4 linked regions of the Tamandua tetradactyla genome follow. The protein of the gene in region 2 binds, or shares a complex with, the protein of the main gene of each other region. Links are inferred from orthologs where the notes say so. Each region holds a gene or a part of one and is shown on either strand. Other genes may lie near its edges. The genes, in order: NUP188, E3 SUMO-protein ligase RanBP2, NUP160 and NUP205.

Evidence for each region.
Region 1: E3 SUMO-protein ligase RanBP2 (region 2) and NUP188 share a complex: the UniProt entries of both Homo sapiens proteins name them as parts of the nuclear pore complex. The link is inferred for Tamandua tetradactyla from reciprocal best matches to the Homo sapiens genes RANBP2 and NUP188.
Region 3: E3 SUMO-protein ligase RanBP2 (region 2) and NUP160 share a complex: the UniProt entries of both Homo sapiens proteins name them as parts of the nuclear pore complex. The link is inferred for Tamandua tetradactyla from reciprocal best matches to the Homo sapiens genes RANBP2 and NUP160.
Region 4: E3 SUMO-protein ligase RanBP2 (region 2) and NUP205 share a complex: the UniProt entries of both Homo sapiens proteins name them as parts of the nuclear pore complex. The link is inferred for Tamandua tetradactyla from reciprocal best matches to the Homo sapiens genes RANBP2 and NUP205.

Annotation. Positions count from the first base shown.
Region 1 is NC_135328.1:51,772,214-51,779,646, reverse strand, and holds the start of NUP188 (nucleoporin NUP188), read right to left. Parts: upstream 3,006-7,433; 5' UTR 2,988-3,005; coding exon 2,956-2,987; intron 1-2,955. Other genes in the region: DOLK (dolichol kinase), read left to right, coding at 3,405-5,021. UniProt on the Homo sapiens protein: Component of the nuclear pore complex (NPC), a complex required for the trafficking across the nuclear envelope. Required for proper protein transport into the nucleus.
Region 2 is NC_135343.1:73,417,383-73,424,437, reverse strand, and holds the start of E3 SUMO-protein ligase RanBP2, read right to left. Parts: upstream 3,023-7,055; 5' UTR 2,918-3,022; coding exon 2,846-2,917; intron 2,741-2,845; exon of another isoform or gene 2,665-2,740; intron 1-2,664. UniProt on the Homo sapiens protein: E3 SUMO-protein ligase which facilitates SUMO1 and SUMO2 conjugation by UBE2I. Involved in transport factor (Ran-GTP, karyopherin)-mediated protein import via the F-G repeat-containing domain which acts as a docking site for substrates.
Region 3 is NC_135334.1:124,603,012-124,610,246, reverse strand, and holds the start of NUP160 (nuclear pore complex protein Nup160), read left to right. Parts: upstream 1-4,225; 5' UTR 4,226-4,268; coding exon 4,269-4,368; intron 4,369-4,621; coding exon 4,622-4,733; intron 4,734-7,235. UniProt on the Homo sapiens protein: Functions as a component of the nuclear pore complex (NPC). Involved in poly(A)+ RNA transport.
Region 4 is NC_135327.1:178,270,870-178,277,797, forward strand, and holds the start of NUP205 (nuclear pore complex protein Nup205), read left to right. Parts: upstream 1-3,923; 5' UTR 3,924-4,147; coding exon 4,148-4,175; intron 4,176-6,928. UniProt on the Homo sapiens protein: Plays a role in the nuclear pore complex (NPC) assembly and/or maintenance. May anchor NUP62 and other nucleoporins, but not NUP153 and TPR, to the NPC.

The sequences.
Region 1 (7,433 bases), on a different chromosome or scaffold from region 2:
ATATTTATATATTTATTTATAAACCTGATTTAACAAAAAATAAAGGAGGAGGAGAAAGGCTTTATTTAAAATGAAATACATTTTCTACCTACCAAGGATAGCTTCTGGGTTTGCACAAAAACTAATTAGACAACTACCACATGACCCTCATACCTAATAAAGTGATTAACAGTATATCAAAATTAATGGCAAGAAGTTCATAGAGACAGACAGAATATGCAAATTCATAGAGACAGAAAATGGATTAAAGGGTATCAGTGACAGGGCTGAGGGGCTGAGGATGGGGAGTTAATGCTTAATGGGTACAGAGTATGCTTGGGACAATGGAAAGGATTTGGTAATAGGTGGGGACACCAATAAATCTAAGAACTTCATTAGCTTAGTGTCAGGTATAACAAAGGATATTAAACACACATTATATAACCAGCAGAAGGGAAGATGGCACTAAAGGGTGTGATACTAACTGGAGTCTACAAAGGAACATAGTTGTATAGAACAGAGTTAAAGAAGAACGAGCACACTGGGGACTGATCCAGATCAACAAAAGGTTTCACCTCAAATTGGAACCTGAAGGTTTGAGCAGGTGATCCTCAAAAAACATAACAGATACAGCCGGAACGTAGAGCTGTGATGTCTAATCCAAAGCTACAAGGGCTTCTATCTATATTTTCAGGAATTTAAACATGTGCTGCAGCGTCTCTCATTTATTTGCATAATATATACTAAGTATCTGGAAAAAAAACTAAGGCACAGAATTAAATAACATGCCTCAAATTCAAAGGTAAATTTAAAAAAATTTACAGACTTTCAGTACATAAACAGACAAAATAGAATTCTATTTTTGCAAGAGTTGGCAATAAGCAGACTGGAAAATTATATTCCTTAGAGAGATCCATCTGGCGGAAAAGCTCTGTGAAAGCTACTGGAAGTTAGGAATAACAGTTTCTACAATTCAGTCCTTTTGGTTGGAAGCTGAGACACAGCCAAGCTACTCTGATAGCTCTTTTGAGGAATACACTTAAACTCCACCTGGAAATAACAGAAGTTGCCACTGCCCATGGATGCTCTGACTCCACAGATGAGATACAACCTTCTGAGATTTAAGCTTAGAAGCAAAAGCTTTTCAAATTGAGTTCTATTTTTCTTTAGTACACCTACACCACTTAGACTTCTACAAAACTCATTAACTGAAAAGAACAAGAGAGTCAAGAAAAAAATGACAATATTCAAAATGACACTCTGCCAATTCCAAAGTGGCCTTCCCCCCAAATTTTAAGAGTATCACTCCATTTCTGACTAGTGCCAGCTTGTATTAACCATACGCAATGACTTTCCTACAAGAACATGTTTCTGAGATACCTCAGTACTCCTCTGGAATGGATTCAAATTTAGAGATCTGGAGTCATCTGCAAATTGGCAGACACCAGGAACAGAATTTGTTTTCTCACAGTCCTGATTTCTAGATATTCCAAACAGGGGAGAACTGTATCACTCTTTTTAATATTTCAGTATAATCCCAACTGGTTGATCATGACTTCTGGCACAAAAACAAAGATCATTCTCCATGAGCAAAGTGATGCCTAGAAACACTACTGTCATTTATTCCATTTTTGGGTTTGATTTTTGGTAGGTTTCCCAGTATGATCAGGGAACTCTTTCAAGCAAACCAAAGCTTTCCTTCTCTTTGTCCTCTCTCATTAAGAACATGCCTTCCCCTACAGGTGCTGAACTTCTACCAAGCTCAGAAATGACTATGAAAAAGGCCTAAGAAAAGGAGGGCACAGTGGTCACAATGCTGCCTAATATAATGCTGACATGAAAAGGCAGGGTAGAAATAGGCAAACGGATCTTCACAAATTATAGACATAGTCTAATGGAAATTGCAAAGAACAAAATTTCACTTCCAAATGAGGGGGTGAAAGAAACAATATCAGAGAAGATGGGCGACATCGGTACTAAATATTTACTGAAAAACTATTATATATTGTTCTAAGTGCTAGGGATACAGCAGTAAACAAGACAAATAAAAAAGGGGGGGGGGGGCAGGGACACTACAGGCACAATAGGTAACAGGGATGGAAGACATTCCAAGCTGTTGTGTGGATGATAGGGGTGTGGTGGTTTGGTTTATGGCCTTATGGCATTAGAGTTGACAGACTTGGGTTTAAATCCTCATTTTACCACAGTCAGCTCTGAGCGCTGGGCTTCTGAGTCATCTGTAAAGCAGAAGATGCCTGACAGCATTGTGAGAATTCAACGAGATATGCATATAAAACGCTTCGCCAGAGTCTGGCATTGTTAAGTACTCTATAGGTGAGAACTATATCATTCGTTTTAATATTTCATCTTCTTGTTCCCAAAACCTAGCATAGTGCCTGGAATCCAAGCATGTACGCTGACCAAAAAAAACAGTGGGACGAAATTAAGTCAGCGCAGAAATGAGGGTGGAAAATGCAGGGAGGTAGCTCGGCGCCACACCAAACATACTTCCTAATGAGAGCACATGGGAGAACGTGGGGACGGGAAAGGCCCAGCCGTCAGCGAGGCAGGCCACAGGGACTCGGCCGCGGGGGTGAGGTGGGAGATTCCTCAAGGCGACCGCGAAGCGCTCCGTCGTGCCTCAAAGAAGCGTCACGGCCGGACGAGGAAGCGCAGGTGGTGTGCCAAGGGACTTGGCCCGCGAAGAGAGAAGAGGAAGGCGAGGAGGCTTAGGTGAGAAGACGGAAGGCCCGGCGCTAAGAGAAGGGGTGAAAACCCGGCCCTCCTCTTGAAGAAGTCCCCTCAGGTCCCCGCGCGGGGGACCGTTTGGACGTAACTGCCTCTCGTCTCGGCGCCCGTCCACCCAGCTGGCCTTCACTCCACTAAAGTCACCACATTCCGCACCAAACTCCCGCCCTGCTCCTGCTTGGACCCTGCACCGCCCAACCACCCGCGCCGGCTCTGCCTGCTCCGCACCTCACACACAGCCCGCCGGCGGCCGCCGCCATCTTCGCGCGCGCGCGCCCCAGCCCCGCCTCCAGACGCTGCGCCGACGCGTTCACTCGCTTCCAGGCTGGGTGCGTGGGGTGGTGCTTTCTGTCACGTGAAGGCGACACCGGGCGGAGCCAAAATGGCGATACTCCGGTGGTGAGGATTCTGCGGTGAGCGTGGAAGAGGTTGTGAGGAAGGCGGCCGAGCGGCTATTTTTACGCCTCAGGTTGGAGGCGGTGGACTGTGACTGGGCACCAGCTCCCAGGCTGCAGAGAGTGACCTGCTGTGGAGCTTCCTTCCTCGCAGCTCGTGAACAGAGGAAAAAGGTTGCTTGCTGGGTGAAGTTGCCTCCCTCTACTTGGCGGGGCAGACGGGTCCGGAGTGCAAGGCATCCTTAGTCACTTCGGCTTATCTGGGGCTTCAAGTCTAGGAACATGACCCGAGATTGCGCTCCTCCGGCCCCCGGAACCGGGGCTCCGCTGAGCGGGTCGGTGCTGGCGGAAGCGGCAGTGGTGTTCGCCATGGTGCTGAGCATCCATGCTGCGGTGTGGGACCGCTATTCGTGGTGCGCTGTGGCCCTCGCAGTGCAGGCCTTCTATGTCCAATACAAGTGGGACCGGCTGCTACAGCAGGGAAGCGCCGTTTTCCAATTCCGAATGTCTGCCAACAGTGGCCTACTTCCTGCCTCCATGATCATGCCTTTGCTTGGACTGGTCATGAAGGAGCGTTGCCATGCTGCGGGGAACCCATACTTCGAGCGCTTTGGTATTGTGGTGGCAACCACTGGCATGGCTGTGGCCCTCTTCTCCTCAGTGTTGGCACTGGGCATCACTCGCCCAGTTCCTACCAACACTTGTGTCGTCTCTGGCTTGGCTGGAGGTGTCATCATTTATATCATGAAGCACTCGCTTAGCGTGAGCGAGGTCATTGAGGTCCTGGAGGTCCTACTGATCTTTGTTTACCTCAATATGATTCTGCTGTACCTGCTACCCCGCTGCTTCACCCCTGGTGAGGCACTGCTGGTGTTGGGCGGCATCAGCTTTGTGCTCAACCAACTCATCAAGCGCTCTCTTACCGTGGTGGAGAACCAGGGAGATCCAGTAGACTTCTTCCTGCTAGTGGTGGTGGTAGGAATGGTTCTCATGGGCATCTTCTTCAGCACTCTCTTTGTCTTCATGGACTCAGGCACCTGGGCCTCCTCCATCTTCTTTCATCTCATGACCTGCGTCCTGGGCCTTGGAGTGGTTTTACCTTGGCTACATCGGCTCATCCACAGGAACCCTCTGCACTGGCTCCTTCAATTCCTCTTCCAGACAGATACCCGCATCTACCTCCTAGTCTACTGGTCTCTCCTGGCCACCTTGGCCTGCCTGGTGGTGCTGTACCAGAATGCCAAGCGGTCATCTTCTGAGTCCAAGAAGCACCAGGCCCCCTCCATCACCCGAAAGTATTTCCATTTCATTGTGGTAGCCACCTATATCCCAGGTATCATCTTTGACCGGCCACTGCTCTATGTGGCTGCCACTGTATGCCTGGCAGTCTTCATCTTCCTGGAGTATGTGCGCTACTTCCGCATCAAGCCCCTAGGTCACACTCTGCGGACCCTCCTTTCCCTCTTCCTAGATGAACGAGACAGCGGACCACTCATCCTGACACACATCTACCTGCTCCTGGGCATGTCTCTTCCCATTTGGCTGGTCCCCAGACCCTGTACACAGAAGGGTAGTCTTGGGGGAGCAAGGGCCTTAGTCCCCTACGCTGGTGTCTTAGCCGTAGGTGTGGGCGATACTGTGGCCTCTGTCTTTGGCAGCACCATGGGAGAAATCCGCTGGCCTGGAACCAAAAAGACTTTCGAGGGAACCATGACATCCATATTTGCCCAAATCATTTCTGTGGCTCTTATCTTAATTTTTGACAGTGGAGTGGACCTAAACTACAGTTATGCTTGGATTTTGGGGTCCATCAGCACTGTGTCCCTTCTAGAAGCATACACTACACAGATAGACAATCTCCTTTTGCCTCTCTACCTCCTGATATTGCTGATGGCCTAGTTGCTGTGCAGCAGCAGTAATAAAGGAAACAGAGACATGAGGAGGATGAATGGCCCCCACAGCACCCAGCCTCTTAGGCAAGAAGAGCCAAGGGGTGAAAAGAAGATTTGCTTTTTCAGTTGATTCAGATTTAAAATAAAAATCAGAGTTCTCCAGGTTTTAGTTTTCTGATGTTTTAAAAGAAAACAGGCTTAAATGATACTGAATCAGCTCAAAGAATTTGAGTATGCTATAGAATCCCCTTCTCTCACCTCATAGTTCTCAGGGAGGACCAGAGTGAACACTGGACGCAGTAGAACATAATGGTTGACACTTAAGATCCTGGTGTCAAACTACTCTGGTTAGAATCCTCGGCTGCACTACTTATTAACTGTGTGACCTTTGATGAGTCACATAGTCACTCTGAGCCTCAACTCCATCTACAAGATGGGAATAATTGTTTATAGGGGTATTGTGAGGATCCAATGAGATGTGTATGAAGTATCTAGCCCAGGCCTAGGCAACGAGCAATAAGTAAGGGAAAGTGTCATTATTGCCCAAGACCAGTCCTCATCTTAGCAAAAAAGCATTGCAAGCCAAGAAATTTGTCTTGTACTTGGAGATCAGAGTGAACTTTACTCCTATGGCTTCATTTAGAGGAGGAGAAGGCATGTGGTATCTCCCAGTTGGATTTGGAAGAGCTGAAGGGGAGAGGTGGGATAGGTTTGGGGCATAGTATAAAAGAGCTGGAGGAAGAGGATCAGGTCCTGAGCTAATGTCCTGTTTAAGCCAGCCCCACCCATCTACCTCCCACTTCCGAGGTCTCTGCTGCCTGGCTAGGTGTGCTGATGGAGAAAAATGGGCTGGACAGTACAGGGTCCTTATCAAGATGTCCCTCCTTAGACCCTCTCACCCTCCGGTCACGTCCAAGTCTGTTTCTTCCCTGACAACAAATTAGAGCCTAGGACAGGTCCATAAGGGCTGCAGGAGTTTCCATAGCTCTACTCTGAACACCTCTGCCTAAACAAGGGACCCATGCTTCAGCCTTGCTCTTGGGAGAACAGGGTCTGGGCCTGCCTGATTCCCCTATAGAGCCTGGCACATAGCTGAACTTGGTAGACATTTGCTGAGTGGATGAACATTTCCCATCAATGGGAAAATAACAGCTGGTTACATGAAACTAAACAAGTTTCTCCCTTCTCACCTAGCCTAGCAAGGAGCCTAGCAGGAAGAGGTGATAACTTTGGCCTGCCAAGGCCAGAAACCAAGAGCAAAGCCCAGGAGCTGTTACCGGCACCTTATGCTTCTGCCTGGAAATTACTACCAAGTTCCTTTCCTTCAGAGGAGATTATTGAGACCTTCCTTTGTGCCCCAAAGGAGACTCAACAAACCTGATCCTTCTCTCAGTTCCCTATTACTGCTTGCCAAAGAAGGCAGCAAAATGTTGGGGAAAGAGCCCCAGCTTTGCCCCACTGGCCTTGGGAAAGGGCTCTTTTCTTGGCCTTGGTGTGTCCAGTGGTGGGTTAGACTAATCAGGGTCACACATATGCCTGCAGAGACCAGGTAGGTAATGCAGATAAATGAGGACTGAGAAAATACGAACTCTGCTGGACCAGAGAACACATGCCTCTAAGGAGGCAGCTCCAGCCAATAGATGCCATGCTAGAATGTAGGCCCTAGGTTGTCAAACTTCCCCTGTTCAAAAACCCTGGTAGAGCTCCCAATTTAAAAAAGTTTTGTTAAAAACAAATCTGCAGTCTAGATTCAGCCAGTATCCCCCAGTTTGCAACTGGGCCAGACCCCAGCTTATTAGGTTTTGGGATTGGCAGTTGTTCCCACTGAGGATTTGGGTGCCTGCCCAGCACATCCTAGTCTGCCCCCCTTATCATATAGATGGGGAAACAAGCCCAGAGACGGGAAGGGATTGGTCTCCTTCCTACCTCCCCAAGCAGGGAGGATTGGGTAGTGTAGCTCTTGGGAGTGCAGGCTCTGGAGCATTCTGAACAATTGAATGGCTGACTTCAGCAGGTCACTTAACTTCTCCAGGCCTCAGGTCCTTGATTTGTAAGTACAAATGCTAAGAGCAAGGAATTCAGAGATAGGTGTGAGAAGCCAATGAGCGGTAAAACAAAGAAAACTCTTAGCACAGAGCTGGGCTCACTGTGAGTGCCCAGTAAATGTGACGTTATTAAAATCATATAGTGTGTTCCAGGCCAGGCCGGGGTACCTGGGATGATTTGCAGGAGGGCTGTCAAGACAGCAAGGCTGCTTAAGAAAGAAAGAAACAAGCTGCATTTGTAATTCATTTTTATTGTGTCTTGCAGTGTACAAATCAGAGTTCTACCTTAGAAGAGATAAGAGTGAGAAGCCGAAGAGAGGTGACCAGAACCCTTTCATGGTTCTGGGAGAGGTGGTATTGGGGCAGTATGGAAG
Region 2 (7,055 bases):
TACAGGAGCTAAAAGGCAAATGCATAAAATGTCATGAGAAATCAGCAGTTTGGACTCATAAAGGCGGGGGGACTGAGAAGTATAGTAACATAGTGTACACTAATGGAGTTAAGTTGGTATCTAAGCAAACAAGATTATTATAGATTTTCTATGTTAAATTTAAGTCCTGTGGCAACTACAAAAAAAGTATCAGAGAACATGAAAATTCACACAGCCAGAAATTAGAATACAGGTTGCCAGGGTGGGAGATAAATGGAATGGGAGTTGATGCACAATAGGTTAAGGGCTTCTGTTTAGAGAGATGGGAAAGTTTTAGTAACGTAATGCGGTAAAGGCACTGCAATAATGTGAATGTGATTAATCCTAGCCAATGTTCAAATGTGACAAAATTTAAAATTGGTGGGTAAGAGTATCTGGGAAATAGGAGTATATCAGAGTTCCCTTTATGGAGTTCGTATTATTTATGTTAACTGTTCTCTTAGGTTTGAAAGTATTTAAAAATAAAAAGTTAAAAAAAAAAAAAAGGATACTCTTCAAGGGTAAGAGATATGTGACCACAATAATAAATCCTTAAAACTGTGCACCACCCTTATTTTATTTGATGAAAAAGTCAGGTAGCTGAAAGAACATTCCCTATGTCATTCTAACTTCTGTCTAGACTAGTCATTCTTTTGGGAGCCAGGGTCCCCATAGATAATCTGATCAATGCTCTAAATCTGCTTTAAAAAAAAAAATCATATTCATCCACAGCTGCGAATCTCCCTGGCAATGTGGGATATGACTCCCAGGGATGAGCCTGGCCCTGGATGGTGGAATGGACAATGCCTTTCTGACCAAAAGGGCTTAAATGTAACAAAATAAAATAGCAGTGGATAAGAGGGTTCAAACAGAGCCCAGAGACATTCTGCAGACTACTCTTATGCAAGCTTCAGCTAGGTATTGCTAATTACCAAGATGTGCCAAGCCCCAACCAACATCATTCCTGTTAAGCCTAAAGAACACCCAGGGCTCTATCTGAGATCCTACAAAAGTTGCACACAGTAAGTTTACTTTTCAGAAATCTAAAAACTTCGTATGGTTCCTTGGTCAGATAAATTCTGAAACCCAGAGATGCCATTTCTCCAAGAACATCAACCCATTACATCCCCCATCCCACGCTGTCGACACCCCTTTTCAAGACGAAAAAAGTTAGAATGGCATAACCCAAATACCCCTAAACATTGGGGGGAGAAGGATCAAAGGAGGAGTTATAACAGAAAAGTTAGAATTTAACAAATGAGTATGACTATGAATCATTATATTGCTATTTCTTTCTAGTCTCCAATGTCTTGGAGCAGCTAGAAGGAAAAACCTGAAGTCGTGGAACTGTAACTCATAACAAACTTTGAAATCTGTTCTATAACTGTTAAAATATACTTTGAAATTTATTGTTTTGTATATACATTATATTTCAAAATAAAAAATGTTTAAAAAGCAAGTCACATCACTCTAAGGGTACAAAAACCCTTAAGATTCTTCTACACTCTACTACCACACTTACATTTATGTCTACGTAAGCAGTTGAAATAATCTGTAGAGAGGTACTTATTTCTCCCCTCCTGAGGAACAGGATATAACGTAATCCACTGTTCCTAAATTAAAATAAACCTGGCCCATGTCAAAATCCTGCAGTCACCTATGAAACCTTACACAAGTACCTCCTGATATGCATCTGCAGTTGTTGGGACACTAAACAAGAAAAATATCTGGGATGTAGAATAAGATTATATTGCTATTATAATCAATCATTCATGCGTTTTCTTGTTTTTTTTAAAACTCCTTTCAACATTAACAATAAAAATAAATTCCAGCAAACACGTAATTAGCCCTTCTATGCACAAGCACTAACATGCATCACCCTATCTTATCCTATCAATGCTGCACCTCCACCTTATTAAGAGAAAACAGTTTAACTTGTCCCAAATCCAGGTAAAATGACTCCAGATCTTGTGCAAGCCCACATGTAATACCTTTTTCCTCACTCTCCACATCCAATCACTAAAGTTCTGCCGAATCCAAAATATATTTAGCACATTATTTACCTTAAAAGAAGAAAAATACCGTAAAAGCACGTTAAGGAAATGGGTTAAAATTTTTAACCAGAGTAAGTAACAACGTCCTATTAGAAATTTAGAATTCGCGAGGAACGTGTGTGTGTGTGTGTTTGTGTGTGTAGAGTGGCAAAAAAAAAAGACGCTTCCAGAGAGTCCTGGTGGGGAGGGGGGGACAACAGAAGGAGGGTCAGGACCCTTATAAATACAGCGCCGGACGCCTCAAGCCAGGGGAATTCAGTCTCATTTGCGCTGTGTGTCAAGCACTTGCAAATGTGGCTTTCCATGCTCCGTTCCGTTAGGTGACTACGACGATCACCTGTCTCAGTAGTAAATGCCCACCCTCAAACTGCGTCAGTACTGGGTTCCACTTCCAAGCATGGGAGTGGTGGAGGACGCGCGGGCCATAAACGGTGCGCGAGCTGCCGAGAAACCCGAGCCTGGTGGGCCCGCCAGATAGGTCGGTCGGGAGCCGACCAGGAAGAAGAGGAAGCTCTGATGCCAACGGCCGCTCGCTGGCCGCTGGGCCCCGCGCGCGCGGTTCCCGAGCCCTGCGCCCCTCCCACACGCGCCTCCCCCGCCCCGCACGCTCTCGAGCGCCACGCAACCCACGGGACCGCGCTGGCCGGCTAGCGCCTCAACGGAACGAGGTAAGCAGCAGCCGGCAGGGAGCCATTAGGCCGGCGCCAGTGCCGGGCATCGGGGCCTCCGCTGGCCCAGGGCCAGATCCACCCCTCTCTTGAGCACTCACTCACCTCTCGGGGCGACGGAACGGAGCCCTGCACGGAGGCGATGTACCGCTCCACGTCGGCCTTGCTGCGCCTCATTGCGCCGACGTCCGAGCTCCCGGTACGCGGAAGGCCGACACTGGGGCCCACAGCGACCGGCAGGCTCAAGGAGCAAAGCGCCTAAAAGCCGTGACGCAGCGCCGTCGCCGACTGAAGAGCGGCATGACGTACGTGCGTGTTGCATCAGCACTGTGCGCCACGCCGACGACGGTGGCGCGTTGGGGCGGTGCGCCTCGCCGGCTCCCCCCACCACGCACTGCCCGAGTCGCGTCTGGTTTCTGGGGTTTTGTCCGGAGTTGGTGCAGTTACGCCACTTCCCGGTGTTCTTTGCTCACCGCCCTCTAAAACCGGTTGCAGGTTTGGGCTTTCTCCGCCAGGGCTTCCTGAGGATGAGGAACAGGAAAAACATTCAATACCACAAATGAGTCAAGGAATATTAACCAAATTGAAATATCAATTTACCAAAGGTCTTTTTTAACGTTTTGTCCCTTTCTTCTTAATTACACATTTGTGTGGAAGGAAAAAGCACTCATACCATTTTGGTGAACCTTTCAATTGGAGCAGTCTTTTGTGTTGGACACCTGTGTATCCGAAGCATACAGTTTTTAAAAGCTTGAGAAATTTTGTAGGTGTGTGATTGAAAGGTAGGCCTCGAATACTTTGTTTTAGACGATGTTGATTTTTGTTGAAAACTTTATAAAAAGCCCTAAAATTTATGCATATTTCATTAGAACAGGGTACATAAAAATTTCAAGATGTTAACGTCATCTGTATATTTCAAATCGTCAATAGTGTGTACTTTTGGAATTTGAATTTTTAAATTTTAGATCAAAGCCGGCGTTTTCAGGGGTGAAGACATTTTTACGCTTCGAGCATGTCTGTGTACACCGTGGGGTCTTGAGTTTGTGGGAAAATATCAAACAGGAAATATGTTCACATTTATAACAAGATTTGGCATGGGTAATTTTTATTCTTATGGTTTTTCCATATTTTCCAAGGTTTCTATAACGAACAAGTATTACCTTTTATAAAGATGGAAAAATAGCATTTCGTTTTGTTTTGTTTCGATCATATTGAATGCATATGAGGGAAAAGGAAAAGATTGCTGGGAGGCTTCTAGACTGACTGAGGTGCATTAAGAATAGTATAAACTAGAATCTGGTTTGGAATGGAAGATGGTATTTTAAGTAATTGATTCATTTCAGTTGAGATATCAGTTATATATATCCTGTTGAAGATGCCTGGTAGGTAGAAGAAATGGTAGGTCAAAGATTCAGGGTGGACTTGGTACCTGGCTTGGAGCTCATGAGCCTCAGGTGACAGTTAAAAGCATGAATTTGCCTTGGAAAGTGTTAGTAAGAACACCCATAGCTAACAACTAAGCACTGTGTTCCATGCCCTTTTCGTAGCGCTTCATATGTATTAGTTTATTTAATCCCCCCAACCGCTTTGTGAGCGGCACTACTATACATTATCATCCTCAGTTTAACAAATTAGGAAGCCAAAGGAGTGAGCAGGAAAGCAACTTGCCGAGCACCCTTTCCAAGTAAAATAAGAACGATTAATCTGCTTAAAATACTGAAAAGAAGTTGACCAAAGAGGGAACCTTCTTGAGGAACTCAAATGCTTTCCTTGAGTAGGTTTATTAAGCTTCAAAACCCAATTTCATCAAGTATGAGTCTGTTCTTCTGGGCTTTAGAAATAGGCACTCTTCTTCATGATGTCTGTTCCTTCCTCAACATAGACCAGTTCCATCCAAACCTGTTCTGACACAGAATTATCCTTTCCCCCAAGTCACACACCTGGTTGTAATGTTCTCTCTTAACTGCTCCTTTAGTCATTTTGATGCTGTGCATCAATTTGAATGAAGCATGAATCCATAAAAACCTGACTTAGGACATTTTTCAGCAGCAGCAGTTTTACCTGATTAATCTCCTGATGACTTCTGAATTAACATTGAGCTAATAATCATCCAATATTGGTGCTGATCGAACTTAGGAGTTTTTCCTTCTCCTTAAGCACCTCTACCTTGTTGCTGGTTACCATCCATTGCATAGACACAGTATCTTTCATGTATCACATGATTCCTTTCTTCTTCAGCTCATTCATACTGTCAATTTGTCCTGTCGTTTTCTCAGCACTCCAAATTTGTATGATCATATAGGAATCCTTAACTACTGCTTACTATAATGCACTTTTCAATGCTCTCATGGCTTTTGAACTTAGAATTGATGAGGTTAAAAATGTTCACAAAAAAATCTCAAAAACAAAAGGAACCAAATGACTGCAAATTACTACTGACAATTATGTACTTGCACATAATTAACTTGTTTTCATTTTAAACTTTTGCTTTGACTGCATCTCTGAAATTAGAAGCTCCTACACATTCTGCTCTTGATATCCATACCATCTAAACTGCTTTATGTACAGAAGGGGCCTTTTCACACATAAATTGAGGAAGGATTTGGAACTATCACAGGATAGCACAATGCTGCCTGAAACCATATGGGGAAAAATTTGTACAAAATCATGAATTAGGGGATATATGTGTATATATCTGTATGATATACCTTTGTTAGTATGTATTTGTGGGAAATGGAATCCCCTCTATCAGTGCTAACAGAAATATAATATGACCTAATACGTAATTAAAATGTTCTAGTAGCCACATTTAAAAAAGTAAAAGGGAACAGGAGAAATTAATTTTAATCTTTTTTCAACCTAATATATTCAAAATGTAATTTCAACATATAATTGATATAAACACATTATCCATGAGCTATTTTACATTCTTTTTTTGTACTAAGCCTTTAAGATTTGATGTGCATTTTACATTTGCAGGACATCTCAAATCAGACACTAAACTTTCATAAGAAATGCTTGATCTGTATTTCTATTTCATAAAATTTAGGGTTGAAAAAATAGATTCACATACCCAAGTTGTTCTAAACATACTTCAATGTTTTCCAATAGCTTAATCAAATATCATTTTGTAAAATTTTAATTTTAATTAAAATTTAAACTCTTCACCCTTGGTTCCTAAAAGTTCACTTTTGAAAAAAAATGGTGCAGGCAAAATCCAGACTGCCCATGGTTAAGGATAGATTAAGTGGTAAGGAAATGGACGTACAAAGTTTTGGTTACTTTTCTAATAGAACTTACCTTGGTGTCTTTGGTAAAATATCATGTAGAAAAATTGTCCCTTTTTTGGGCAGATAGTTCTATGACTATTAAGACATGTATAGATTTATGTGTCCACTACCACAGTCAGGAATCAGGACAGCTCTGTCATCCCCCCAAAACTCATTCATGTAATCCCTTTGTAGTCATACTCTCCATTCACCCCTTAACACTGGTCATTTCTCCACACTGTAGTTTTGTCTTTTCAACTTTTCAAGAATGTCATAAAAATGGAATAGAATCATATTTAACCTTTTGAGAGTGGCATCTTTTACTCAGCATAATACCTTTGAAATCTCTACAAATTGTTGCATTGTATCAGTAATCTTTTTTTGTGGACCTACCACAGTTTTGTTACCCATTTTCCAGTTGCAAGACATTTGGGTTGTTACCACTTTTTGTTGATTATGCCTAGAGTTGCTATGAACACTTACCATCTATACGTTTCTCAACAAGCACAGATGTTCATTTCTCTAGGGTAAGAGTCAGCATATGGCCTGTGGGCTGGCCACCTGCTTTTACAATGCAGTGACAGGAGTTGAGTAATTGTGACAGAGAACTATGGCCAGCAAACCTAAGACATTTACTATCTGACCCTTAAAAGAAAAATTTTGCTAATCCTTGTTCTAGAATAAAAACCCAGGAGTGGGATTGTTGGGTACCATTGTGGGTATATGTTGAACTTTATAAGAAATTGCCAAACTGTTTTCCAGAGTGGCTGAATCTTGTTTGCATTCCTGTCAGCAATGCATGAGAGCTCTGCATCCTCACCATCACTTGGGTATACTCAGTATTTTTTATTTAATTCATTCTAAAAGGTGTGTAATGGATCTCATCCTGGTTTCATTTTAGCCCTTAAAATGTTAGACATCTTTTCCTGTGCATATTTTCCATTCATTTATCCTTTTTGTAACCTGAGTTTTAGTTTAGTTGTTGCCCATTTTTCAGTCAGGTTGTTTTCTTATTGTTGAGTTCTGATAGTACTTTATGTAGTCTA
Region 3 (7,235 bases), on a different chromosome or scaffold from region 2:
ACGGCTACAGGAAATAAAATTTTCCTTCAGGATACTCATAGAAACCTCTAAATCTTTCAGACGGCACTTAAGCTTCTTGTTTGAAGCCTTAAGCCCATCCCTTTCTTCCTTTAATGTAGACAGTGTATCTAACAACAACCAACCAACATCTCTATAACTCTTATTTCTACAAAACTCTGTAAAGGTGTCAAAAACATTATCCCCCAGAGTCTGGCTTCGTACAAGCGAAGCATTAGGAGAATCGAATGATGATATTTTGACTATCTCCTTTGCCAACTCAGTCCATGGATTGGGTGTGTCATTCTGATTACGGGAATCAGAGTCCTTAGTGTCTCTGAGCCCAGTCAGAGTAGAAAACCATTCATAAAAACCCATTTTTAAGATTCTGTTCCTTAAGAACCACTCCTGGTACCAAGATGTATTAGTTAGGGTTCTCTAGAGAAACAGAATCAACAGGGAACACTTGCAAATATAAAATTTATGAAAGTGTCTCACGTGACCGTAGGAATGCAGAGTCCAAAATCCACAGGGCAGGCTGCGAAGCCGATGACTCCAATGGATGGCCTGGATGAACTCCACAGGAGAGGCTCACCAGCCAAAGCAGGAATGCCACCTGTCTCCTCTGAGTCCTCCTTAAAAGGCTTCCCATGATTGGATTTAGCATCACTAATTGCAGAAGACACTCCCCTTTGGCTGATTACAAATGGAATCAGCTGTGGATGTAGCTGACGTGATCATGACCTAATCCTATGAAATGTCCTCATTGCAACAGGCAGGCCAGTGCTTGCCCAATCAGATGAACCACAACTTGGCCAAGTTGACACCTGTCCCTAACCATGACAATGATATTGCTATATTTTAAAACTCCACCTACTGTATCTGACCAAAGGAAGAGATGCTTATTTTGTCCACAACTTAAATTTTATGTAGCACACAATCTAACTTAACCTGTTTGGCCAGTTCATTTAAACAACCTAAACATATGGACCCTAGAAGTGGCAATGCAATCTTGTAATTCTGTATAGCTTAAAGTAGTACCCTAATACATTCCAGAGTATGTTGGGTAAATAGCCGAAAAGTAGTGGCAAAATCCCTAGAGGGACTGGAGAAAAAATATGGAACTGTTAAACTTCCTTATCTGGGAAACACCTGATACTATCTCAAATATTAGGGACTCCCAAGTCATAGGTCAAGCCCTTGATCTTGAGGCTTTTTCTTATGAAACTTTTATCTGTAATGAGAGGCTAAGCCTACCTATAAATATGCCTAAGAGTTTGTTCTAGATTGCTAAAGCTGCCGGAATGCAATATACCAGAAATAGACTGACTTCTAAGGGGATTTATTAAGTTACAAGTTCACAGTTCTAAGGCCTTAAAAATGTCCAACCTAAGGCATCCAGAGAAAGATACCTCAACTCTGAAGAAAGGTTGATATCTGTCCTGCATCAGTGGGAATGCATGTGGCAGGCATCCAAGGTCCTTGCTCTTGTTTCATTGCTTCCATCTTCTGATTCCAGCGGCTTTCTCTCCAAGCATCTGTGTGTCCCTCACTTAGCTTCTCTGGGGCAAAACTATGGGTTTCATGTCATAATTTAGTATCGTCTGGGGCCAAAGATTTCTTTTCTTCAAGTGTCTGAGTCCTGGTTTCATACGGCTTCTCTACACATCTCTGTTGGCACTTTTTCTAGTTTGCTAGCTGCCAGAATGCAATATACCAAAAACAGAATGGCTTTTAAAAAGGGGAATTTAATAAGCTGCTAGTTTACAGTTCTAAGTCCATGAAAATGTCCCAATTAAAGCAAGTCTATAAAAATGTGCAAATAATGGTACCAACAAGTGGTTACCTTCACTCAAGAAAGGCTGGTGAAGTTCAGGGTTTCTCTGTCAACTGGAAAGGCACGTGGCAAACATGGTGCCCTCTGCTAGCTTTCTCTTCAGCCTTCTTGTTTCATGAAGCTCCCCCCAGGGATATATTCCTTCTTCATCTCCAAATGGCAGCGTGAACTCTGGCTCTCATTATTTTCGTTGCTCTAAAAGGGAGTCTCTCCAAAATGTTTCCTCTTTTAAAAGATTTCAGTCAAGGCCCACCTGGAATGGGTGGAGTCACATCTCTCTCTAACCAAAAAATTAATACCCACAATTGGGTGAGTCACATCTCCATGAGAACAATAAAAAAGCTCCCAGCCAGCAATATTGAATGAGGATTAAAGGCTTTTCTGGGGTACACCACAGATTCAAACCAGCACATCTCTCTTCAATGCAAAGTAGTTAGAAACAGTCCTTGCCCAAATATCCCTGAAGATTGGGAAAAGGATCAAATGAGAGGGAGGATTTGTAACAGAGAAGATAGTATCTGCAAATCACTGTGACTACTGAATCACTATACTGATGTTTCTTGTTAGTTTCTAGTGTATTAGAAAAGCTAGAAGGGGATATCTGAAATTGTGGAACTGTAACCCACACCACACTTTGAAACTTACTCTAAACTTTGAAATTTATCACTTTTCTGTATATGTTATACTTCACAATAAAAAAAATGCAAGAAAAAAAAAAAAAACAGAGTTCTGGGTACTCCAAAATTAAGAGGTTAGGAGAAGAGGAGAAACTAGCAAAAAAAAAAGTCTAAAAAAGAAAAGTTGGTGAAGCAGGAGGAAACCAAGATAATGGGGTGTCCTAAAAGCCAAGTGAAGAAAGTATTTCCAGGAGGAAGGAGCAGTCAATTGGTCAAATACTGCAGGTGGTCAAGTAAAGTTTAGAAATGAGAATTCCATTATAGATATATAACGTGAATGTCTCTGATGATCTTCCAAAATGCAGTTTCAGAGAGCAGTAACAGCCAAAGCCTTAAAAAAGCAGGTTTAAGCGAGAACAGGAAGACAGGAATTGGATAGAACGCTCTTGAACTTTGCTGTAAATGCAGGGAGCAGCGGAGATGTGCAGTCGAAGCTGAAAAGAATGAGACGAATAAGGGCTTTCTTTATGGGGGGGGGGGGGGGAATAACGGCAAGTTTGCATGCATAAAGGACCAATCCAGTGAAAAGGGAAAAACCAAGCGGTAGGAGAGAGGAAGGACCGCAGGCACGTGGCGATGCAGTGAAAGGCAGCGAGAGTGTCTCACCAGATTCCACCTGCAGCAGCAGGACGGGCAAGGCAGCCCCACGAGCGCAGGTGCGGCCCGGTGGGGAGATGCGGCAGCGGGGAAGAACCCTCCGGGAATTCCCGTTTGCGTCCACCTTCTAAGCGAGGCCAGGGAAGAGGTGCTGGGGTTAGAGAGCTATGAAATACTCCTCCAGGACGCTGAGGAAATAGCGGACACGGAACACGAGGCGCCTCACGCAGTCAGAGCGAGGCACGTCCTAAGGGCGTCTACTTTTTCTCCAGCCCTGGTCAAAGGCAGATTTGGATTTCATCGAAGTTGTAGGTTTTCAACTAAAGCATCGTGAACAGAGCGAGCCAGGGGGTAACCTAATGGAATTTAAGCAGGCGCAAGAAACTTTCAGGGAAACGCAGGACGGTGAAAAGGAGGAGGCAGCCACGGAGGGCAGGCGGTTCAGGGGCTGCCTCGCTGAGTGATGGCGGATGCCACACAGAACGGCAGGCGAGGGTCGCGGAAACCTTAGCAAAGCCCGGCTTCGTGAAGAAAGAAACTCCCGCCTTGAAAACGCGCATGGTCCTCGGCACCCAGACGGCGCTCTGCCCAGAATCGGGCCCACGGCTTCGACAGCCGGGACGAGAGCCCGGCTCCTCTTTTGGGGGTTCCGTAACGAAACTTGAGCAGGTCGCGGCACCAACTTCTCATTTAACACATCGAGTGTCATTATTCAAGAAAAAACGAACACAGTCGCGTGAGAAAATCCAATACAACACAGAAGGTCCCTTGTCACCTCCAATACCGCCCTGACAGGCGAAGGGAGACTGACAGACCTACGGAGGCGGCGGCCGCCCGACCGGCTGAGGGCGCTAGACCCGCAGAGGGCGCCAGACCACGCACAGGACCGCGCCCGCGAGGCCCCGCCTCGCAGCGCGCTAAGGCCGCCGGGAAAAGGGCGAAGCCCGCCTGAGGCACCTTAGCCGGCCACTCGTTGGTTCCTGCAGACAGAGGCGCTTCCTCTCTGCCCACCTTGCAGTCTCCTGGCAACTCTGTGGAAGCCTTCAAGGAAGCGGCGGGCGGCCCTCGCCTCTGCCGGCAGCCCCGCTAGCCCCACCCCGGAAGTACGCAGACCACCTGGCCCTGCCGTGTCCCGTCGGGCCTCGCGGCGGCGCGGGAAGATGGCGGCGGCGGGAGCCCTGGAACGGAGCTTCGTGGAGATAGTGGGAGCTGAGCGCGAGAGGCAGAGGCATTTTCGGGAATTTACGGTCTGCAGCGTTGGTACGGAAGCGGTCCCAGAGAGCGCGCGGCCTTCCGACGGTTCCCCGGGTCTCTGTCCACCTCGCCGGGTTCATCTTCTCAGTCCACATTCTGCTGGCCCTTGGATCGGATCTTCCCCAGTGTCCGGCTTCTTCCTCCTTTTCCCTTCCCTTTGTGTGGATTGTCAGCCCGTCACTCTGTGCTCCCTCGGCGCACTTAGCCCCTGTCATCCCCCGAGAACCTCGTGTGCGCACTGACCACCCTCCTTTTCCAGGGACCGTAAATGCCGTGGCGGGAGCGGTGAAATTCAGCGAGAGCGCGGGAGGTTTCTACTATGTGGAAAGCGGCAAGTTATTCTCCATCACTAGAAACAGATTCATTCATTGGTAAGTGTTGTCTCGTCCACCCTTCTAGAAGGTACGGTTATTCGGAGTTTGGATTTTCCTGGCTCTTCCGTCATTCTGCGAAGCAGTAATCGACATCTGGCAAAGTAGAAAGACTGTTTGCAATTCATTTCCGAATCAGGAGAAAAATTAGAGTGGCCCAGAATTCTAGGCGTGAAATCCCATCCCCACCCCAGTCTAAAGCAGAGGGAATGGAGCTTAGGGATAAATCCCTGAAGACCAGGATTTAAGCATGAACTTACTGTGGTGGTGTTTTATTTCTTTTTATAATCGAGCAACGCTTTATTTTTTTTAATTTAGCTAACTATGTTTCTGTGCCTTCCACACTTTCACAAGGACTTTCTGCTTCTCAATAAGGAAAGCTTACTTGTTCCATTGTTTTCATAGCACTTGACAGCTTCCTTCATTTTTCGAACACTTGTTGAACTTCTATATGTCAGGCCATTCTAAGGATTTTGGATTTTATCCTAAGTACATCGAGCAGTCATTAAAAAAGTGTTTTTAAAGAGTTTTTAACACAATCAGATTTGCATTTTTAAGCAGTTGGTCTCAATGTCTGGAAAATGAACTTGGATTGAGTGGGACTGTTACACAAGAACACTTTCCTTTTACAATGGTCCAAGGAAGAGATGCTGTGGTTCAGATTGTGGTAGTGGCTAGAAAACAGAATAAATGGATTCCAGATACATTTAGAAGTTAGATTTACTCAGACTTGGTGACAAATTGAATATGGAGTTGGGAGGGGTAAGGGAAAAGGAGGGAACAGAGACAAAAACCCAGGTGTTCTGATGTGACTAACAGGAAGTGAGGGGTGGGAGTGTCATTTACTGAGATACAGAGACTTGTTTGGAGAGAAATTCTTTTGGACATACTAAAGTTGAGGTACCAGTGCTGCAGCCCTTGGAAATATCTGGTAGGTATTGGAATTTACAGACTTGAGACTCAGAAGAGAGACCTGTATTAGAAATATGAATTCGTTTATTTAAGAAATATTTTTGCGTGCCTGCTATGTTCCAGTCTACAGTTAGGAACTGGGAATATAGGGGTAACAGAACAGACAAAAATTCTCCACACTCATGGAGGGAGACAGGTAAAAAAACAACAACAACAAAAAAAGTAAATGAACTTGTCAGGTGACAGTAAATGGAATAGAGAACAAGGAAGCAAGTCAAGAGGAAAGGGAAATGCTTACAGGAATTACTGTTTTACATAGAATGGTAAGGCAGAACTCAGAAGTCGGTAGACTATTTGAGCAGAGAAAGTGAGGATACCAAGGGAGGAGCATTTCAGGTAGAGTATTCTCAGAAGAAACAAAAAAATGCAAAGAACTGTGAGAAGGGAGCTTGTCGTGTTCAGAAGAATAGCAGGGTGTCAGGAGTCTGAATGAATAGTAGAACAATGAGAGAGATATCCCAGGGCCAGATCAGAGCTTTGTCACTTATTTAAGTCTTAGGCTTTTTACTCTGGATGAGATGGGAAGAAGCCATTAGAGCATTTTAAGTAAAGAATGACATGATCTAAGTTGTGTTTTAAAACCTTGATCACTGTGGCCACTGTATTAGCAATAGAATGTAGTGGGGAAAGGATGGAAGTAGTGAGAAATGGTCTGATTGTGGATATGCTTTCCAGGTGAATTTATTACAATTTACTAATGAATCAGATGTAGAGTATATGGAAAGAGAAGAGTTAAGGGTGACCCCAAGATTTTTGGCTTGAACATTTGGAAGTTGTGAGATGCCATTAACTCAGATGGGAAATAGTGCAGAAAAACAGATATTTTTGGTTTTTTGAGCTTGATATGCAGGAATTCGGTTTTGGGTGAGTTTAGTTTGCTATGTCTTTCCAAGTGGAGATCTTCAGACAGTAGTCAGGCGCTCAGTGGACAGGATGGGTGGAAGATACAGTTTGGGGGATCGTTGGCATGAAATGGCATCTAAGCTTGTTGTATATTGAATGAGATCACCTGAGGTTTCTCATCCCAGCACGGTCAGCACTTGGGGCCAGGTCATTCCTTGTCAGAGGGGATGCCGCAGGATACTGAGCAGCCTCCCCAGCCTTTGACCGCTGCGGGCCGCCAAGCTTCTTCCTGCTTTCGCCCCCGGTGTAGCAGCATTGTCCCCAGATATTGCTAAATGTCCTTGGTGGGGAGGGAAGGGAGGAAAATTATCCCAGCTGAGTGTCACTTGTGTAGATGAGGGAAGAGAAGTATGAGGACTGAGCCCCAGGGCACTCCAGCATTCAGGAATGGGGAACTAGTGAAGAAGACTGAGGAGGAATAGCCAGTGAGGTGAAAGAGTGTTGTCTCATAATCTTAAGGAAAGTGTTTCAAGGAGGAGAGCAAAAAAATTGTCAAACACCACATTTGATTTGGGTAGGATGAGAAATGAAAATTGACCTTTGCCTTGTGGAAGTCATTGGTAGCCTTGGCAGAAACTGCTCCAGTAGACTGGTGGGGCAGATGCCTGAGCGGAGTGGGTTCAGAAG
Region 4 (6,928 bases), on a different chromosome or scaffold from region 2:
TGTTGAATAGACTGTGCTGTCCCAGTTGGGTGGACTTGGCAACCTTGTGAAAAATCGATTGACCCAGGGATGAGTCTGGTCCTGGCACCGTGGGATCAGTAATGCCATCCAGAAAAGGGGGAAAAGAAGTGGAATAAATGAGATATCTGTGGCTGAGAGAGTTCCAATAGAGTTGATAGGCTACTCTGGATGTCACTGTTATGCAAGCTTCATTTAGATATTGCTACCCACCATACCTTACCAAACCAAAACTATTCCGGCCAATCCTAAAGAACACCTAGGGTGTTATATAAGATACTACAAAGGCCCCATGCACTAGGGTAACTTTTCGAGACCTACAATCTCCAGATGGTCCCTGGACCAGATAAATCCTGAAACACAGAGGGGCCAGCCTCTCCAAAGCATCATCTCGTTCCATCCCCCTAACCCATATTATTGACAGCCCCTTACAACATGAAAAAGTTAGAATGAGCATAACGCAAATACCCATAAAGAGTGGGAGAAAGATTAAAGGCAATGGTGGAGTTATACAGAGAAGGTAGGGTTTAACAAAAGAGTATGATTGCTGAGGGGCCAATCTCTCCAGAACACCAGCTAGTTTTATCTCCTTATCCCATATTATCGATACCCTATTCCAACATGAAAAAGTTAGAATGGGCATAGCCCCAATACCCCTCAAGAATGGGAGAAGAATCAAAGGCTATGGTAGAGGTATACAGAGAAGGTAGGGTTTAACAAAAGAGTGCAATTGCTGAATCATTACGTTGACATTTCCAGTATCTTAGAGCGGCTAGAAGTAAAAACCTAAAATTGTGGAATCGTAACCCACACCAGATTCTGAAATCTGTTCTACAACTAATTGTTGTGCTATGTTTGACATTTATTTCTTTTTTGTATATATGTTATTTTTCACAAAAAAGAAAAAAAATACTTCTAGCCTCCAGTCTTTTGGAGCAACTACAAGGAAAAATCTGAAATAGTGGAATGGTAATCCATAACAAAGTCTGAAATCTGTTCTGTAACTACTTGTTGAAGTGTACTTTGAAAAAAAAAGTCAATTGGCCATGATACATGTATTTATTTCTGAGCTCTCTTCTATTCCATTGATAAATATGTCTATCCTTATGCCATTGAACTTTTTTTATTACTGTGAAAAAATCAATTCATGTTAGATCTTAAGGTTTATTTCTAAACTCTCAAATCAATTCCATTGGTCAATGTCTATCTTTATGCCAATACCATGCTATTTTATCACTTTATAAAGCTTTGCAAAGTGCTTTAAGTTGGGAAATGAGAGTACTCCAACTTCATTTTTCATCTCAAGGGGTAAGGGGCTCCTTACCCTTTCAAATAAATTTGGGAGTTAGATTTTCCAATTCTATATGTAGGACTTTGGAATTCTGATTGGAGTTGCATTGTGTCTGTAAGTCAATTTGGGTGGAATCTTAACAATATTTAGTTTTCCAAATCCATGAACATCTATTTAGATCTTTGATTTCTTTTAGCAATGCTTTGTAGTTTTTTGAATACTTATCTTGTACATCCTTGTTTATTTCTAGATATTTGATTCTTTTGGTTGCCATTGTAAATTGATTTTTCCCCCTATTTTTCTCCTCAGATTGTTCATTACTAGTGTATAGAGCACTACTGATTTTTTCATGTTAATCTTATATCCCTTGCTGAACTAATTTATTAGGTCTGGTAGCTTTGTTGTAGATTTTTGGGGACGTTCTAGGTATAGCATCATATATTCTACAAATAGTGAAAATTTTATTTCCTCATTTCCAATTTAGATGCCTTTTATTTCTTTTTCTTGACTAATTTCTCTAGTTAGAACTTCGAGTACAATATTGAATAACAGTGGTGACAGTAGACATGCTTATCTTTTTCTTGATCTTAGTGGGAAAGCTTTCAATCTTTCACTATTGAGTATGACATTAGCTGTGGGCATTTCAAATGTGCCCTTTATCATGTTAAGAGAGTTTTCTTCTATTCCTATTTTTCAAAGTGTTTTTATGAAGAAGGGATTCTGGTTTTTTGTCAAACACTTTTAGTGCATCAATCAATACGATCATGTGGTTCTTCTTCAATTTTTAAATGTTATTTATTACATTGATTAATTTTCTTGTGTTGAACCACCCTTACACACCTGAGATAAAGCTCTCTTTATCATGGTGTATAATTATTATAATGTGCAATTGGATTTGAATTGCAAGTATTTTGTTGAGGATTTTTGCACCCATGTCATTAGGGAGAATGGTCTGTAATTTTCCTTCTTATTTTTTTTTTTTATCTGGCTTTGATATTAGGATGGTATTGCTTCCATAGTATGAGTTAGGTAGCATTCCCTCCTCCTTCAGTTATCTACGAGTTTGAGTAAGACTCCAACTGATTTTTGACATGTGTGCTATTTCCACTCAGTCAGGAAAGAATGATCTCTTCCACAAATGGTAATGGGGAAATGGGATATCCATGTGTAAAGAATGAAAACTGGATATCTACATTCAAAAATTAGCTCAAAATGTATCACAGATATAAATATGCTAACCAAAACTATAAAACAGTAGGAGAAAACATAGGGAAGCATCTTCAGGACCTTGTGTTAGGCAGTGGTATCTTAGTCTTTACCTGAAAGGAATGAGCAACAAAAGAAAATATAGATAAATTGGAATTCATCAAAATTAATTTTTTGCGGTATCAAAGAATTTTTTCATGACAGTGAAAAGACAACCTAGAGAATGCAAGAAAATACTTGAAAATCACATATCTGCTAAGGGCTTAATATGCAGTATATATAAAGAAATCCTACAATTCAATAACAAAAACACAATCCAGTTAAAAACTGGGCAAAAGATTTTTATTGCTATTTCTCCAAAGATGATATACAAATGGCTGGTAAGCACAAGAAAATATGGTCAACATCATTAGCCATTAGGGGAATGCAAATCTAAACCACAATGAGATACCATTTCATTCCCAGTATATTGGCAACATTGGTGACATTGTAATAGGGTGCAGTCTCTGTGGAGGATAGTTTGGCAGTTCCTTAGAAAGTTAAGTGTGAATTAGCATATGACCTGACAATTCCAGTTCTAGGTATAGACCCAAAAGAACTGGAAGGGGGGGACTCAAATGGTATTTGTACACCCCTATTCATAGCGGCATTATTCACAATTGCCAAAAGATGGAAGTAACCCTAGGGTCCATCAATTTAAGAATGGACAAACAAAATGTGCTATATGTGTACAATGGAACCTTGTTCAGCCATAAAAAGGGATGAAGTTCTTATACATGTTACAAAGTGGATGAATGTTGAAAACATCATATTTAGTGAAAAAAGCCAGATTCAATATAAAAAAAATTGTACGAGCTCACTTATATATAAACTATGAACTATAGTTAATTGTATAATTATAATAATATTGTTTCATCAAGTTTAACAGAATGCCACACTAATGCTAAGTCTTAATTATAGAGAAAACTATGTGTGCATGAGGGGCAGGAGTGGGTTGTGTATGGAACTGTAGTTTTTGCATTTTTCTGTAAACCTACAACCTCTCTAGTAAAAAAAGTTATGATTTGTTTCACTCCATGCAATTATGTTGATGCAGTATACTTTGTATATTGAAATGTGCTGAAAATCCTGTTTGTAACAGGTCAAATGACTTTTAGAAGTATTGAAACCTCATACCCAACTCCACGTCCCAAGGTAACGGAGCTATGCAAAGAAGATTTAACATAAAATTTAGATAATTTTATTTGATTTCATGGATTTTATAATATCATAAATATGCGTTATTTCAACAACTTGTCTTTGGAAACCTTTTCTTCCAGTGTACATAACGCACTTGACGCATCATTAGGAAGAAATTACAGGTCCCAGGATGCACTGCACGAATACGTCAAGTTGAGGACCTTGCATTTCCGACGTGGTTGCCTTTGCCCTATGTGAATGGGAACAATTCCGGTGAAAAATTGCTGCTTGTGGCTCAAAGCATATTTTTCAGTTTTTCATACTCCCGCGTAAGCCCAGCGCGCTGTTTAGAGATGGCAGTGCGGGGCCTTTATTTTCAGGCGCCTCGTCGGGCAGCCTCACCCTTTCTGGGGCCTCCGAGCGACAGGAGGGCTTCGTTAGTGCGCCTCCAAGATGGCGACGCTGTTGGCGGTAAATTCGGGTAAGTGTGGCCGGGGTAGAAGGAAAACGGAGAGGCAGGGCGGTGATCGTTTGTTTGTGGAATAACCTGGGCTATGAGGTTCCTTGGTATCCAGACATCCCACTTGTACTCGGTGTATATTTTTCCCTAGCTCTAGGCCTAGGGGCCCGCCCCTCCTGTTTGAATGGCGCGCGTAGGCGCTGCGGCTCTATCCTTTGGGTTGGGGTTTGAGGGTCGGGGCAATGAGAAGTGGTACCTAGGAACAGTGTTGCAATCTCACGGCCCAGGACCGCCTGGGTCCTCCCATCCCCACTTATATTCCCACGTCGTGAGGTGCCTGTGGCCCGGATTTCGCCATAATATATGTCGAGTCTTCAACAGTGAGGTCAGAGGACCCGGGATAGTTTTCAGTCACCAGCGGAGGCTGAGCAAATTCGAATCTCCAATCTATAAAGAAGTACCGGAGTTCCCAGGCGAAGGTGCCTAGGCAATGGTTGTCGCGGGCTCAGCAGATGATTCCGAGATCCGCGGCTGTGATCCGACAGTAGATGTTCAGTACTTTTGGGACAGTAGGTCTTCGGGGCTAAAGTAGATGGCGGTAATGCAGATTGTAAGAGGTGGAAAAAGAACGCTAGGTGATTTGGGATGGGGCCTCTTTTGGTGATTCTCGACCCGGGGCGGTGCCACCCCACAAGGGCGTTTTAAAGAGGGGGTGCATTTTGACTGTCACAATTCCTGGGTTGCTTTACTGGCATTTAGTGGGCGGGTCAAGGATGCTTCAAGTCTCGCACCGGGCAGGACTGTTATGGAAACGAGTTTCCTGCACAGAATGTCAGTAACACCCGGGTTGAGCCGCACTTAGCTTTATTGTGCACAGTTTAAGAGAATGTTTGCGTGAAAAATCCTTGTGCAGAATCTCACCGAAAAGGACTCCTTCGTGGGCACCTTTTCTTTCTGTCTCTGTACACTTTTTTTTAATGGTTTATTCTGCTTTCACAAACTGTTATTCCTGAAAGGTTGTCTAAATCTAAGTTGCAAATCAAACTATTTAAGAAATACTGACACGTTATTTTGTAATAATGAAGGCTTATATTTATTGAGCACTTTTGTCCCAGGCAGTGGAATAAATATTGTACTTGCACTAGTTCACTTAATGCAAGTATAATCCCTTTTGTACTTGTGAGGTAGCTGCTAATAAATGCCCCAATTGGAAATAGAAATTTAGAGCAGTAACTCCCACAAGATTGTGTAACTAATGATCCTAAACCAATCTTACCTGCTTAAATAACTGCGTACTACTAATTATAACCGGATTCATTTTATTAATCCAATTTTCATACATTTCAATGTTAATAATGAACTTAGCTCCTTAATATTGCTGTCCCTTCCCTCAACTTGATATAACCTTTTTTTCCCTCTGTTACTATTTTAATGCAATTTTATTGAGATATGTTCACACACCACACACTCCATCTGAAGTATACAATCGTCATTGTATCTTACTTTTTTTTTTTAAAATATTTTTACTGAGATAGCTTCACACACCATACAGTCCACAAATGTAAACTTAAAAGTAAGGCTTGTATGTTATGTATGTGATTAGAAACATTTTTTGAGTAAGTACTTATCCCAAGTTAGTATCACTATATCCAAATCATTGAAGCAAAAGTAAAAAAGGAAAAGAAGTTGCTAACAGCTGCAAAGAGTATACATTGTATAATAAAGCCTTGCCCTCTCTCTTCTCTCAAAAGACAAGCCACTACTCACTGACTTTTTTTCTTCAACCCACGAGGGTTCTGTTCTGTTTTCCTAAGTTAAAATTAACATGCTCTTCCATTTCACTAAATCCAGCAGACATTTTCAAGCTCCATCTTGACCAAAATCATGGCCTGAGAGACTGAATAGTGTGGCAGTTGCCTGTTTTGCTAAACCTTTGTTTTCTGCACTCCAGCTCTCTTCTCCTGAGACCTTTTCAGTTCAGTGCAGTGTTCCCTGTTGTCGTGGAACCCACACATTCTGGCTTCCAGAAATGCATGTCCTCAGATCCCATCCCTCAGTTAACTTCCACTTTTATCCTTGGAATTTCAGGCTACTCATTGCTCGTCAAGGAAGCTTTCCCTTCTCTGACCTTCCTGACTAGATCAAATCCTGATTTCAGACTACTCATTGCTCCTCAAGGAAACTTTCCCTTCTCCGACCTTCCTGACTAGATCAAATCCTGTTAAGTGATCTCATGCCCTGGATACCTCTACTTCATAGCACTTGCCACAGCTGAATTTTGCAATTATATGTGATTATATAATTAATGTGTTTTCTCACTAGATTTGAAAGCTTACAGTATTTAATACATGATGAATGAGTGAATAAATGGTAACTTGTTGGAAGGCTCTCTCAAAACTTAAGGAAAATAAATGTATTTCTAAAATGAGCAAATCACTTATGTTAAAAACATATCTTTGGTGGCTCACTGGTAGAATGCTTGCCTTTCATGTGGGAGACCTGGGTTTGATTCCTGAACCATGCACCCAAAACAAACAAACAAACAAACAAACAAACAAACAAAACCACATCTTCATGGGGAAACTGTATAAGGTGGAGGATATATGGAAACTGTATTACGTATTCAATTTTTCTGTAACTCTAAAACTGTTCCAAAAAATAAAGTCTATTAATAAAAGATAAAACCCCCCACATCTTCGGTAATCTGAAAAAGTATATAGCCTCCTTTCATTTGTAGTCAATAACAGATATTGACTAAAATTAGCCAAGTTGAA